Saccharomyces cerevisiae S288C: one gene and its partners. Changing the gene in region 3 together with the main gene of any one other region gives a genetic interaction. Each region holds a gene or a part of one and is shown on either strand. Other genes may lie near its edges.

Region 1 (5,781 bases), on a different chromosome or scaffold from region 3:
GGAAGACCTTGGGGAGTACTCTGAAGATCTGTTGAAAAAGTGTTCTCTTGATTCAGATGTGGTCATCACTGGTGTCCCTAGTGAAAATTACAAATTCCCCACCGAATACATCAAAGAAGGTGCCGTCTGCATCAATTTTGCATGCACCAAAAATTTTAGCGATGATGTCAAGGAAAAAGCTTCTCTTTACGTTCCAATGACTGGTAAAGTTACCATTGCAATGTTGTTGAGAAACATGTTACGTTTAGTAAGGAACGTAGAACTGTCTAAAGAAAAATAGAACATTTGTGGCTGTTCAAATAAGCATAGGTAAAACAGAATACATAAAAATAAGGGAAAAAAAGAAAGATCATTTGTAATGTACTTACTACATACATATAGAATTCTCCTCTCTTAGATTATCATATAATATACAAAGTTTATGGGTCTTATTTCTTCTGTCTTTTAGCAGAGGGCTCAATATCAGTGGCACTGACGAACTCTTCTTCGTATTCTTGTCCATCATCCGAATACGACGCTTCATCTTCGTAGTCTTCATCTACCTCTCCATCACCTTCTTCAGTTCCTTGGTCGAATTTGGATTTCAAACCCTTCATCTTTCTTGTTTGTAGTTTACCCAAATCTTGTTTGCCCATATGGATTCTACCCAATTTATCACCCATGATATCTAATTCTACATTCTTCTTTGTCTTCATTTCTAATTGTTTTGGCTTCTTGTGAGCTTCAGTGACCATATCTGGACTTGGAGTATGAATTCTGCCGATTTTGAAATCTAGACGTGGCCCAATCTCCACCAATTCAATACGTGGTAATCTCTTACCACCTTGGTCGCTTTTATAACTTTTTAATTTGTAAACACGGAATAGAACGTTCGGCAATGGCTCACCATCTTGGAAGTCACCTTGAATGGTCATGGAAATGACATGTTGTAATCCCGCAACATCCTGTAAATCAGTAGATTCGCCTCTAAAGAAATCTAAAAACAAAGATTTAATTTGCTTGTATACGGGATGTGTATCAAATGCAGCACCTTGGAATGTAAACATAGGCTTCAACCCTACAGTAAATGTTAATTTCTTAAAATCAGATAACAACTTGAAATTATCTGCAACCATTAGTTCAATCATATCATATATTTTGTAGCCAAATGTACGTATAAAGGTCATGTTGTTTTTACGCTTTTTGGAACTTGTCATCAGCACCATCAATGAACAGTCATTCTTTTCACTAAAGAACTCTAGTGGCGACATGTCTTCGAAAGGATGAATATCATTCTTACGATTGAACCTCTTCATATCTGGCTTCTTCAAGGCACTCAAATCTACCATAATATCGTGCAGATTCTTGTTACAGCTTTGCCCTGGAATGAATAGCGCTTGCTTGACATTCTCTACCAACTTAGCTTCCCTCTTTACCAAAGCTCTCTTGGCTCTTGCATTCTTGGGTTTTACGGTTCTAATCATTTTTTCTGCCAGTGTTCTCCTGCGCTTTTGGATATGATAACTTCAATACAACTCATCGATATACCAAATCACTTTCCAATAATGCATTACACTATAAGAAAATTCGATCCTTAGCTCATCGCAAAAAAATGAAAAATTTTCAAATCGTATAAAACGATATATTTGAGGATTTAGGAATCAAAATAGCAGAATAAACCAAAACATACACCATTTAGGAATAAGGTTTAGAGGAGCTCGAGCATACTGTTACATCCAATTCAAGTGAAGTACATTAGGATAGCCATATGAGTGAAAAAAAAGTACATCTTCGTTTGCGGAAGGAACTTAGCGTACCCATTGCGGTGGTTGAAAACGAATCCCTGGCGCAGTTGTCTTATGAAGAGGAAAGCCAGGCCTCTCTAATGGACATTTCCATGGAGCAGCAACAGTTAAGGTTACATTCGCACTTTGATAATTCCAAGGTTTTCACAGAAAATAACAGATACATAGTAAAAACCCTTCAAACAGACTACAGTAGCGGATTCAGTAACGATGACGAATTGAATGGATATATCGATATGCAAATTGGATATGGACTAGTCAATGACCACAAGAAGGTTTACATCTGGAATATTCACTCCACTCAAAAGGATACGCCCTATATAACTGTACCATTTCGTTCTGATGATAATGATGAAATAGCAGTCGCGCCCAGGTGCATACTAACTTTCCCTGCTACAATGGATGAGTCTCCATTAGCACTGAATCCTAATGATCAGGACGAAACCGGAGGGCTTATCATTATCAAAGGTAGCAAAGCGATATATTATGAGGATATCAACTCCATAAATAATTTGAACTTTAAGTTATCTGAAAAATTCTCTCACGAGTTAGAATTACCCATCAACTCTTCGGGCGGAGAGAAGTGTGACCTAATGTTAAACTGCGAACCTGCTGGTATAGTGCTTTCTACAAATATGGGCAGAATATTTTTTATAACCATTAGAAATTCCATGGGTAAACCTCAACTGAAGTTAGGCAAACTATTAAATAAACCTTTCAAATTGGGTATCTGGTCCAAAATTTTCAATACAAACAGTTCAGTTGTCTCATTACGAAATGGACCTATCCTCGGTAAGGGGACAAGGTTAGTATATATTACTACTAACAAAGGAATTTTTCAAACATGGCAGTTGTCTGCCACGAATTCCCATCCAACAAAATTGATTGATGTAAACATTTACGAAGCCATTTTAGAGTCGCTCCAGGATTTGTATCCATTTGCTCATGGTACGTTGAAGATTTGGGACTCTCATCCATTACAAGATGAAAGTTCACAACTTTTCCTGTCATCTATTTACGACAGTTCATGCAATGAAACATATTATATTCTTTCCACGATTATCTTCGATTCTTCTTCTAATAGTTTTACTATTTTTTCCACTTATAGATTGAACACTTTTATGGAGTCAATAACCGACACAAAGTTTAAGCCTAAGATATTTATACCTCAGATGGAGAATGCTAACGATACCAATGAGGTAACTTCCATTTTGGTAATGTTCCCCAATGCTGTTGTCATTACTCAGGTGAACTCAAAATTGGACTCTAGCTATTCAATGAGAAGAAAGTGGGAAGATATTGTTAGCCTTAGAAATGACATTGATATAATTGGTTCTGGTTACGACTCAAAATCTTTGTATGTTTTAACGAAACAAATGGGGGTGCTACAGTTTTTTGTGAAAGAGAATGAGGAAACAAATTCTAAACCGGAAGTTGGGTTTGTCAAATCTCATGTTGATCAAGCTGTTTATTTCTCCAAAATAAATGCAAATCCCATAGATTTCAATTTACCTCCAGAAATTTCACTAGATCAAGAATCTATAGAGCATGATTTAAAATTAACCAGCGAGGAGATTTTTCATTCCAACGGCAAGTACATACCCCCTATGCTAAATACGTTGGGGCAACATCTCTCTGTCCGTAAAGAATTTTTTCAAAATTTCCTGACATTTGTTGCTAAGAACTTCAACTATAAAATATCACCCGAACTGAAATTGGATCTGATCGAAAAATTTGAGATCTTGAATTGCTGTATTAAGTTCAATAGTATCATCAGACAATCTGATGTATTGAACGATATATGGGAGAAGACTTTATCAAACTATAATCTGACACAAAATGAACACTTAACTACTAAAACAGTTGTAATCAACAGTCCCGACGTATTTCCAGTAATCTTTAAACAATTTTTAAACCATGTTGTGTTTGTTTTGTTCCCATCACAAAATCAAAATTTCAAACTAAATGTTACCAATTTAATCAACTTATGCTTTTATGATGGAATTCTTGAAGAAGGTGAAAAAACTATAAGGTATGAACTTTTGGAGTTAGACCCGATGGAGGTTGATACATCCAAGCTACCATGGTTCATAAACTTTGATTACTTAAACTGTATCAATCAATGTTTTTTTGATTTTACATTTGCGTGTGAGGAGGAAGGAAGTCTGGATTCTTATAAAGAGGGCTTGTTAAAGATTGTGAAAATTTTATATTATCAGTTCAACCAATTTAAAATATGGATCAACACGCAACCCGTTAAATCTGTGAACGCCAATGATAATTTTATAAATATCAACAATCTTTATGATGATAACCACCTGGATTGGAACCACGTCCTTTGTAAGGTAAATCTAAAAGAACAGTGTATTCAAATAGCAGAATTTTACAAAGATTTATCTGGATTGGTGCAAACATTACAAACTTTAGATCAAAATGACTCAACAACCGTATCGCTATACGAAACATTCTTCAACGAATTCCCTAAAGAGTTTAGCTTTACATTATTTGAATATTTAATCAAGCATAAAAAATTGAACGACCTCATCTTCAGGTTCCCACAACAACACGATGTTTTAATACAGTTTTTCCAAGAGTCCGCTCCAAAGTACGGTCATGTAGCATGGATCCAACAGATTCTGGATGGGTCGTACGCAGATGCCATGAATACTTTAAAAAACATTACTGTTGATGATTCAAAGAAGGGCGAAAGCTTGAGCGAATGTGAATTGCACTTGAATGTTGCAAAATTAAGCTCGTTGCTAGTTGAAAAGGATAATTTGGACATTAATACTTTGAGAAAGATCCAATATAATTTAGATACAATTGATGCTGAGAAAAATATTTCAAACAAATTGAAAAAGGGCGAAGTTCAGATATGTAAACGCTTCAAGAATGGCTCTATCAGGGAAGTTTTCAACATATTAGTGGAAGAGCTTAAATCAACAACAGTAGTCAATCTATCGGATCTCGTTGAGTTGTATTCTATGCTCGACGATGAAGAGAGCTTATTCATACCGCTAAGGCTTCTTTCTGTTGATGGAAACTTACTGAATTTTGAAGTTAAAAAGTTCTTGAATGCTTTGGTATGGAGAAGAATCGTTCTACTAAATGCTAGTAATGAAGGAGATAAACTGCTTCAGCATATAGTCAAACGTGTTTTTGATGAAGAACTACCCAAAAATAATGATTTCCCCTTGCCCAGTGTGGATCTTTTATGTGACAAATCGTTACTGACGCCAGAATACATAAGCGAAACATATGGCAGGTTTCCTATTGATCAGAATGCCATACGTGAAGAGATATATGAAGAAATATCTCAAGTGGAAACGTTGAACTCAGACAACTCACTCGAGATAAAGTTGCACTCGACTATTGGTTCTGTAGCGAAAGAAAAAAACTATACCATCAACTATGAAACCAACACTGTAGAATACTAATATCTATAATACAATTTTACATATATATAATAAACTTTACTGGGGAATGATAATAATAAATATGTATATGCTATTATCGCAACTGCCTTCTTCCGATTTATATAAGATCCTTTTCTTTCTGTTCATTCGTTACCATCTACCCTAATTCTGACCATTGTTTCCGGCAAGGGTACCAGATCTTCATCCTCATCATTATCTTCATCATTCTTATCATTTTCTTGCGCTTCAAGACCTGTTTCATTTGATTGTTCAGATTCCTTTTTCTTAGAATCTTTCCACGGTCCTATCTCATAATCACCCTCTGCATATTGCAATAATCCCAAACTTGCTTGCGATATATTGTTTATTATAGAATCCCAATTGTTCATCAATTGGGCCACTGAATCCGCATTCATTCCCATTTCTTTGATCTGCTCATTCAACTCTGTTAGCTGAATTTTTAAGCCATCCGTTAAACTGGTTATCTTTTGTAATGACTGAAGTTCTTTTCGCTTTATAGCAATTTGTTCATCTATTGAATCCATAATAACTGTCTGAATTATGAGTTTTTCAAACCTATT
Region 2 (5,220 bases), on a different chromosome or scaffold from region 3:
AATTATTCTAATATCCACCGAATTTTCGAAAAGTATACTAATTTAAACATTTGGTGTAAGCGTTTAGGTTGCTAACGTAGCAGCAAACGTTGGTATCAATCACCACTTATTGCGCTACATTTCAACAATGTTCTTGAGAAATGGGTGAATGTTGAGATAATTGTTGGGATTCCATTGTTGATAAAGGCTATAATATTAGGTATACAGAATATACTAGAAGTTCTCCTCGAGGGTCTAGGAATCCCCATAATGGAATCTATATTTCTATATACCAATATTACGATTATTCCTCATTCCGTTTTATATGTTTCATTATCCTATTACATTATCAATCCTTGCACTTCAGCTTCCTCTAACTTCGATGACAGCTTCTCATAACTTGTGTCATCATCTTAACACCGTATATGATAATATATTGATAGTATAACTATTAGTTGATAGACGATAGTGGATTTTTATTCCAACAGTTCTCTTCAACCATTCGTTTTTGGGACTGAGGAAAATGAATATAAAATTATAATACTTCATCTTGAACTTTGAGAAATCACAAATTGTATGGGCGTGTGGTCTAGTGGAATGATTCTCGCTTTGGGCGATCCCCCTGATCAAACAGGAGGAACAAAGCATGCGAGAGGCCCTGGGTTCAATTCCCAGCTCGCCCCTTTTTTTGCAACTTCGTTTTAGACAGTTACTTAATTTTGTTTCTTAGGCACAACAATATTTATAAAAGAAGAATGTAAGTATGACGACGAAAACGAAAAGACTAATAGTTTCATATAATACTAAACGATTTCAATTTTCGTTTTATATCCTTCCTATTCATAAATTTTATTTCGCTATGCCAATAATGAGTGGATGTATAGTTGATATCTGTTTCGATAATTTTAAAGTAGATAGTAAAATCTTACTGACATGAATAATCCGTCCAAAACTAGATTACTGTATACAAGCATATTTAAAAAAATAATGAAACTATGATCAAAAAACTGTGCTACTACAGCGGTGTTGTTATCCGATACAACCGGATATTTTTCTTTTAATGAGTCTAAACCGTGATAGCTTCAGGTTAATACAATCAAAAAAAGCTCAAATATTCTTTTAATGCCGCGTTCACAGATTCCAATTGAATACAACTAGGTAGTTCATTATATGAAGCCTTTGCTACTATTTTTCACTATAGTCTGCCTTCACCTTAATGCAGACATCCACATATTTTAATCACTTTAAAATAAAAAGGAAGATATATTAGAAGCTATGATCCAATCTGTAAGCCAGATTAAAATTCACGAACTCTTCTTTCATTTGAATTGAATGCTTTGAGTTGGGGTAGATTATCGCAAATTACTCATCACATTTATTGACTACGAACTTGCTGATGTCCTTTTTTTATTTATATTTTTCTTCAGTGAAGCGATTTTTTTTTTACACAGACCAAGACGGAAAAAAGTAGCTAAGGAAGAAAACAAAATCATGAAAAAAATGTGAAGTGATCATGCACATCGCATCAACTTAAACATTGGCTTAGAGATATATAGAGTTAGAGTTTACGGCAACCTTTAAGCACCAATACCTTTTGGCATAGTCTAAAGACCTGGTTCTTAATTTTAAACAAATTTAACTAAAGATTTCCCTATCAAAGAAGTAACGAGTTGACAGATTTTCTCAAAATAAATCGATACTGCATTTCTAGGCATATCCAGCGATGGGTGAACATGGTGGTCTTGTAGATTTATTGGACAGCGATTTGGAATACTCTATAAATAGGGAAACACCTGATAAAAACAATTGCCTTAGCCAGCAAAGTGTCAATGATTCACATTTAACAGCAAAGACCGGCGGCTTGAATGCAAGGTCTTTTCTATCTACGTTAAGCGATGATTCCTTAATTGAATATGTCAACCAACTCTCCCAAACTAATAAGAATAATTCTAATCCAACTGCAGGTACTTTAAGATTTACTACTAAAAATATTAGCTGTGATGAATTACATGCTGATCTTGGCGGTGGCGAAGATTCACCTATAGCTCGTAGCGTCATCGAGATCCAGGAAAGTGATAGCAATGGTGATGATGTTAAAAAAAATACTGTGTATACTAGGGAGGCTTATTTCCACGAGAAGGCGCACGGACAAACCCTGCAAGATCAAATATTAAAAGATCAATATAAAGATCAAATTTCTAGTCAAAGCAGTAAAATATTCAAAAATTGCGTCATCTATATAAATGGCTACACCAAACCTGGAAGACTGCAATTACACGAGATGATAGTTTTACATGGCGGAAAATTTTTACACTATTTGTCTTCAAAGAAAACGGTTACTCACATAGTGGCTTCCAATTTACCATTAAAGAAAAGGATTGAATTTGCAAATTACAAAGTAGTCAGTCCGGATTGGATAGTTGATAGCGTCAAAGAAGCAAGATTATTGCCCTGGCAAAATTACTCGTTAACATCTAAACTTGATGAACAGCAAAAAAAACTAGATAATTGTAAAACCGTAAATTCAATTCCATTGCCCTCAGAGACTAGCCTGCACAAAGGATCTAAATGTGTAGGGTCGGCATTGTTGCCAGTAGAACAGCAGTCACCAGTAAATCTCAATAATTTGGAGGCGAAAAGGATAGTCGCTTGTGATGATCCTGATTTCCTTACTTCCTATTTTGCTCATTCGAGATTACATCATCTCTCCGCATGGAAGGCCAATCTGAAAGATAAATTTCTGAATGAAAACATCCACAAGTACACCAAAATTACGGATAAGGATACCTACATTATCTTTCATATCGATTTTGACTGTTTTTTTGCAACTGTTGCGTATCTATGTAGAAGTTCTAGTTTCTCAGCATGTGATTTTAAACGGGATCCTATAGTGGTATGCCATGGTACTAAAAACTCCGATATAGCTAGTTGCAATTATGTAGCAAGGTCATATGGGATTAAAAATGGAATGTGGGTGTCTCAAGCTGAAAAGATGTTGCCAAATGGGATCAAACTAATATCATTACCATATACCTTTGAGCAATTTCAATTAAAATCGGAAGCCTTTTACAGTACTCTCAAAAGATTGAACATATTCAATTTGATTTTACCTATATCTATTGATGAAGCTGTTTGTGTGAGGATAATCCCTGATAATATTCATAACACTAATACCTTAAATGCAAGACTGTGCGAAGAAATACGCCAAGAAATTTTTCAAGGAACGAATGGTTGCACAGTGAGCATTGGATGTTCCGATTCTCTTGTGTTAGCAAGACTAGCTCTCAAAATGGCGAAACCAAATGGTTACAATATCACGTTTAAGAGTAACCTATCTGAAGAATTCTGGTCTAGTTTCAAACTAGATGATCTGCCTGGAGTTGGGCATTCTACTCTGTCAAGGTTAGAATCAACGTTTGATAGCCCACATTCTTTAAATGACTTGAGAAAAAGATATACTTTAGATGCTTTGAAGGCGAGCGTCGGCTCTAAGTTAGGTATGAAGATTCATCTCGCGTTACAAGGCCAAGATGATGAAGAAAGCTTGAAAATACTGTACGATCCCAAAGAAGTCTTACAAAGAAAATCATTATCAATTGATATCAATTGGGGAATCAGATTTAAAAATATCACTCAGGTAGACTTGTTCATAGAAAGAGGTTGTCAGTATCTTTTAGAAAAATTGAATGAAATAAACAAAACAACGTCACAAATCACATTAAAACTGATGAGAAGATGTAAAGACGCTCCAATTGAACCCCCAAAATATATGGGGATGGGAAGGTGCGACTCATTCAGTCGGAGCAGCAGATTAGGTATTCCAACAAACGAATTTGGAATTATTGCTACCGAAATGAAAAGTTTGTATCGAACTTTGGGCTGCCCTCCAATGGAATTAAGAGGTCTTGCTCTACAATTCAACAAATTGGTTGATGTGGGTCCGGATAACAATCAGCTGAAACTGAGGTTACCGTTTAAAACAATAGTGACGAACAGAGCTTTCGAAGCCTTACCGGAAGATGTAAAAAATGACATTAACAACGAGTTCGAGAAAAGAAATTATAAGAGAAAAGAATCCGGGTTGACTTCAAACTCATTGAGCTCTAAAAAAAAAGGATTTGCCATTTCCAGATTAGAAGTAAATGATTTGCCCAGTACTATGGAAGAACAGTTTATGAATGAACTACCAACCCAAATTCGAGCAGAAGTAAGGCACGACTTGAGAATTCAGAAAAAAATCCAACAGACAAAGTTAGGAAACCTACAAGAAAAGATAAAAAGGAGAGAAGAGAGCCTACAGAACGAGAAAAATCATTTCATGGGCCAAAATAGTATATTCCAGCCGATCAAATTCCAAAATCTGACACGGTTCAAAAAAATTTGTCAATTAGTGAAACAATGGGTTGCCGAAACTTTAGGTGATGGAGGGCCGCATGAAAAAGATGTTAAATTATTCGTGAAATATTTGATTAAACTTTGCGATTCTAATAGAGTCCATTTAGTTCTTCATTTATCAAACCTAATATCAAGGGAATTAAATCTCTGCGCCTTTTTAAATCAGGATCATTCAGGCTTCCAAACGTGGGAAAGAATTTTACTCAATGATATAATTCCACTTTTAAACAGAAATAAACATACTTACCAGACTGTGCGTAAACTTGACATGGACTTTGAAGTTTGAATTAAAAAAAAAAAAACATTTCAGCATACAGTAAACACGCAGTTTGCGAACATTACCTGTAATATCTGCATGATTATTACCAAAGAAAAAAAAAATAACTGACACAATGGACAATTAAATAAAATTAAGTAAAAAAAATAAGGACTTTAATTTTTACTAGAATTCTTGACCAACAGTAGAAATGCGTAAGGTATTGGAATGGCCGACTCCTCCTTTGAATCCTTGAATGGAAACAACAGTATCACCGTTGTCCACCATTCCGAAAGACCTCGCCATTTCAACACCAAACTTTAGGCGCCTATGAACATCCTCACCCCAGTCGTCTAGGCGTTTCGGTTCATACAGAAATGGGAAAACACCTCTATACAAATGCGCAATTCTTGCCGTTCTTGCGTGTCTTGTTACTAATATGATAGGGCAGCTTGGTCTATACTTCGACAGTAGCCTTGCCGTGTTCCCTGTAGTAGATAATACAACGATGGCCTTACCATCTTGCTCCAAGATTGCTGCGGTAGCTGCAGCTGCTACAGTTTCCGTAGTGGAAGTAGGTTTGGGAGTGG
Region 3 (3,565 bases):
AGCCTGGCTATCTTTGGAATCTTATAGGTTTTCTTTACAACAGGAAAAGGAAAAGAGTGGCTTACCTTTACTTGATTTGCTCGCGTCTAAATTCGAGTACAGGCGAAGTGGAAGATGCCTTGGCAAAAAAACCTCAGGGAAAGCTTATAATAGATGATGGCTCAAATGAATACGAAGGAGAATACGATTTCACTTATGATGAGAATGTAATAGATGATAAATCAGATCAAGAAGAATCCCTACAGTAGTTTTAAACTTTAATTTGTGAATTTTCCTTGTCTTACACCTATAATCGTTAAAAACAGTCCCTTTATGTCTACTATTGTAAGTTTCTATTTTTAAAAAAATACCCTTTTCAACTATGTACCTTTATGACAATATTATATTTACTAATTGAACACTTTAGCGAGGATTGAATAATGTGCGCTACTATATAAAAAGACTGCCTTCATCATATATTACTGCAAAGCTCTTAGTTTCTTTCGAATACGGAACTTCAATCAGGCTGTTTCTATTCCTCGCTTAGTAATTTGATATGCAATTTGACCAGGCTTAGCGAATGTGGAATATACCACTTTCATTGTCCTCTTAACTTGCCAGAAGCTTGCCGAATCACCTCCCTTATAAAGATGAGCTTCACCTCTTTGAATTATTGTTGAAGCCTTGAAAGATTTTTGAAGTAATATTCGTGTTGAAACGTGATTGGACCAAGTCAAACCGAGATTGGGGACACGATAGTCAAATTTCCGTTTCTTACTTTGTCGACTGATAGGACTTGATGAATTTCGCTCAACGGTTTTATTCTCAATTATGGGTGGTTTCTTTTTTGAAAAAAAATCATAATTCCGGTCATTTACAGTGCTCATAACTCTCTCGATTAGCATATAATCTTCATCGTCTGATAGAATTTCATCGTTATTGGAACTTGCTCCAAGCAGCGAATTCATCTGCCGATAAAGAATGGTTGAGTTCTTCCAGCCAACTAGCCACCCTAGCTGATAATCATAATCAGTTACATATGTCCTATGTGCCACTGGACTGTTAGCCAGTGGTTTATCCCCAACTTGATTAGCCACCACAACGGATAATGAATAATCGTGGGCCAGTATTTGGAGCTTCTCTGCCATCCTATCCAGATAGTTTTTATTTTCTTGGGATTCTCTGAAGGACTTGTTCTGAAGCTCCACCCTCAAATGATGAGAAATCGAATCTATTATCACCAATTTTATTGAACCCTTAGATCTCTCTAATAAAATAGGCAACTGAACATTGATTATGTGTTCCTGATTTATTAGGTCGTTACAGCTGACGGTGAAAATATTTGATTGTGTAATACCTAGTTTTTCATAAGCCGGCCTAGACGATAGCATACTTTCCAATCTCTGAGTTGGTAAATCGCCCTCAGTGGTAATATATACACATTTGCCGCCAAGCCCTCCCGCAGGTTCGGAAAGTTGGACACTTAACGCCAACTGCATAAGTAATTGAGATTTACCAGTAGAGCTCTCTCCGAATATTTCTGTAATGCCATGCGTGAATATGCCTCCACCTAATAATTCATCCATAGCTACATCAGCAGTCGTGAAACACTCAGGACCGTTATCTGGGCTGATAGAGTTTTTTTCACAGATTTCTAAGTACTTTTCATTATATTCATGAACAAGCAATTGCTGAAATCTGAAAACCTCATTTATCGACCTTTGTATTAGCCTTGCCAATTCCTTCGGAGTGAGTGTTAAAAAATCTACGACGCAGACACCATTTTGCCTTACTGCATCCAAAAGATATGAAAATTCTTCATCATAAAGGAGTTTACTTTCCGGTAATTCATCGTAAAGGTCCATATACGTATTGTCAAATTTTATTGATAAGGCCCTAGGCATGAATTTACACACTTTGAAAAATGGTGAATTCCCAGTGGTTGTTCATCATTTTCATTTTTTGAATTCAACGCGAAAAAGCCGAAGATTAACCGGCATCTGAATTCTCATGTTACTTAGAGGATAATGTGTGAGAAGAAATAGGTAAAGGAAGAATATATTTATAATATATAGGCAATTAGACTAATCAAAATCACCGTCCGTATAAATCGTTGAATGGCTTTTCCGTGGACCGAGTCGAAAGCGTTCCGATGAATTGACTGTTCTGGACGTCGATACTACCAGCTCTCAAACCTAAATCAATAGTATGTTCCTACTATAATACACAACTCGGAATAATCGCGACTTTCAAAGAAACGAAAACTTCTGTACTTCTTTTTTTTTTCAGCACTCTTATAACTATTTTCTATACCGCAAGTCATGCGATAATAAATTCATTAAACGAAAAATCACTTACTCACTTTCGCTCTTGCCGGCGCGTTATTAACATCAAAGGAAGAAGATTCAACAGTCGGAGAATGCTGCTCGTTGCGATTACTCTGACCATTAACGAAATTATTCATAGTGGGTCTTAGCAGATTGAAGTCGAATTCACTTTCACTAGGAATTCGTACGACGGCAGCCACTGGGCGCTGTAAGTCTTTATCAGTCGAGCTAGCTTGTTCTTCTGATAAAGGCGGTGGCGCTAAATATTCCGTTTTGCCATTAGGATGAAACTCTCCTCGTTCGTCGTAAAACCCCAAATCATTCTCATTTGCTGTCTCTGTATATTCAGGAACATAGTCTTCAACGCAACGCTGTGTGCCATTGTAATCTCTCTCGGACTGCCTGTAGGTAGGCGGGGTTAACCAAGCGGTTCCCCTAATCGGAGCTTGACCCATAATTCTTCTTCTCCTATTCACTTTTGCAGTTGAAAACAGAAGTATAAGGAGTGCAACTATGAAAAAAATAAAAAAAATCCATCTTCCCCATCTCCATGAGGAAGAGCTAAATGGATCATCATCTGTAATCGCTTCACCATTGTTATTATTATCATCCTGTCTTTTATGTATTAGGAAGTCGATCTGCTCCCGTAAAATCATTTCAAAACTATACTCTCTGTTTAGCTAAATTTCCTTCAGCTTTCTAGCGAGCTAAGGAATGTATTCCAAATTTACTGCTCCTTTATTACGTCAAAAATTTCTATAGTATTCGATTCTCATTAGTAATTATAAAGGAGTAGCGAGAAAAACAAAAATAAAAGGGCGGAAACATAAAGATGGTAAATAAGACAGAGAATATTACCCGGAAACATACTACGAGATTATTGAGCTAATCTCCATGCACCAAAGTGGTTAGACATTTGGCTACATTGACTACTGCAACAATTACTTGAACCCTCTAATCCTTCTTACATATCTATTCATATGTGATTTCACAATGCTACATAAGCGTTTTTTATATAATTAAAGAGCAACTTTTCCTCACAGTAGATAAAAATATATATGCACGCTGTAAAGGAAAATTACATTAGGAACAAAAAAATCTAGACGCAAGTAACAAGCACATCGAAACTAAGCCTTTTTGTTGATTTCTTGAGCTTTTTCAAATTCTTCTTTAAATTTATCAGCATTTTCCTTACTGCCAAATCTGATAGCAAAAGTGAAGGCTTCTGCTTCACCTTCTGCAATATCTGCTGTACAAGC

The links.
Region 1: mutations in RAD57 (region 3) and NUP133 together harm fitness more than expected from each alone (negative genetic interaction), as found in Saccharomyces cerevisiae (4 studies listed by BioGRID, with this or other methods).
Region 2: mutations in RAD57 (region 3) and REV1 together harm fitness more than expected from each alone (negative genetic interaction), as found in Saccharomyces cerevisiae (6 studies listed by BioGRID, with this or other methods).

What each region holds. Positions count from the first base shown.
Region 1 is NC_001143.9:591,078-596,858, forward strand, and holds NUP133 (Nup133p), read left to right. Parts: upstream 1-1,747; coding exon 1,748-5,221; downstream 5,222-5,781. Other genes in the region: MTD1 (methylenetetrahydrofolate dehydrogenase (NAD(+))), read left to right, coding at 1-280; rRNA-binding ribosome biosynthesis protein RPF2, read right to left, coding at 429-1,463; DAD2 (Dad2p), read right to left, coding at 5,344-5,745. UniProt on the Saccharomyces cerevisiae protein: Functions as a component of the nuclear pore complex (NPC).
Region 2 is NC_001147.6:980,126-985,345, forward strand, and holds REV1 (deoxycytidyl transferase), read left to right. Parts: upstream 1-1,702; coding exon 1,703-4,660; downstream 4,661-5,220. Other genes in the region: pyruvate kinase PYK2, read right to left, coding at 4,817-5,220. UniProt on the Saccharomyces cerevisiae protein: Deoxycytidyl transferase involved in DNA repair. Transfers a dCMP residue from dCTP to the 3'-end of a DNA primer in a template-dependent reaction.
Region 3 is NC_001136.10:453,519-457,083, reverse strand, and holds RAD57 (putative DNA-dependent ATPase RAD57), read right to left. Parts: upstream 1,884-3,565; coding exon 501-1,883; downstream 1-500. Other genes in the region: RNA polymerase III-inhibiting protein MAF1, read left to right, coding at 1-248; YDR003W-A (uncharacterized protein), read right to left, coding at 2,180-2,302; RCR2 (Rcr2p), read right to left, coding at 2,330-2,962; Ran GTPase-binding protein YRB1, read right to left, coding at 3,434-3,565. UniProt on the Saccharomyces cerevisiae protein: Participates in the repair of X-ray-induced damage to DNA and in meiosis. It may act in part by stabilizing a repair complex of other RAD genes.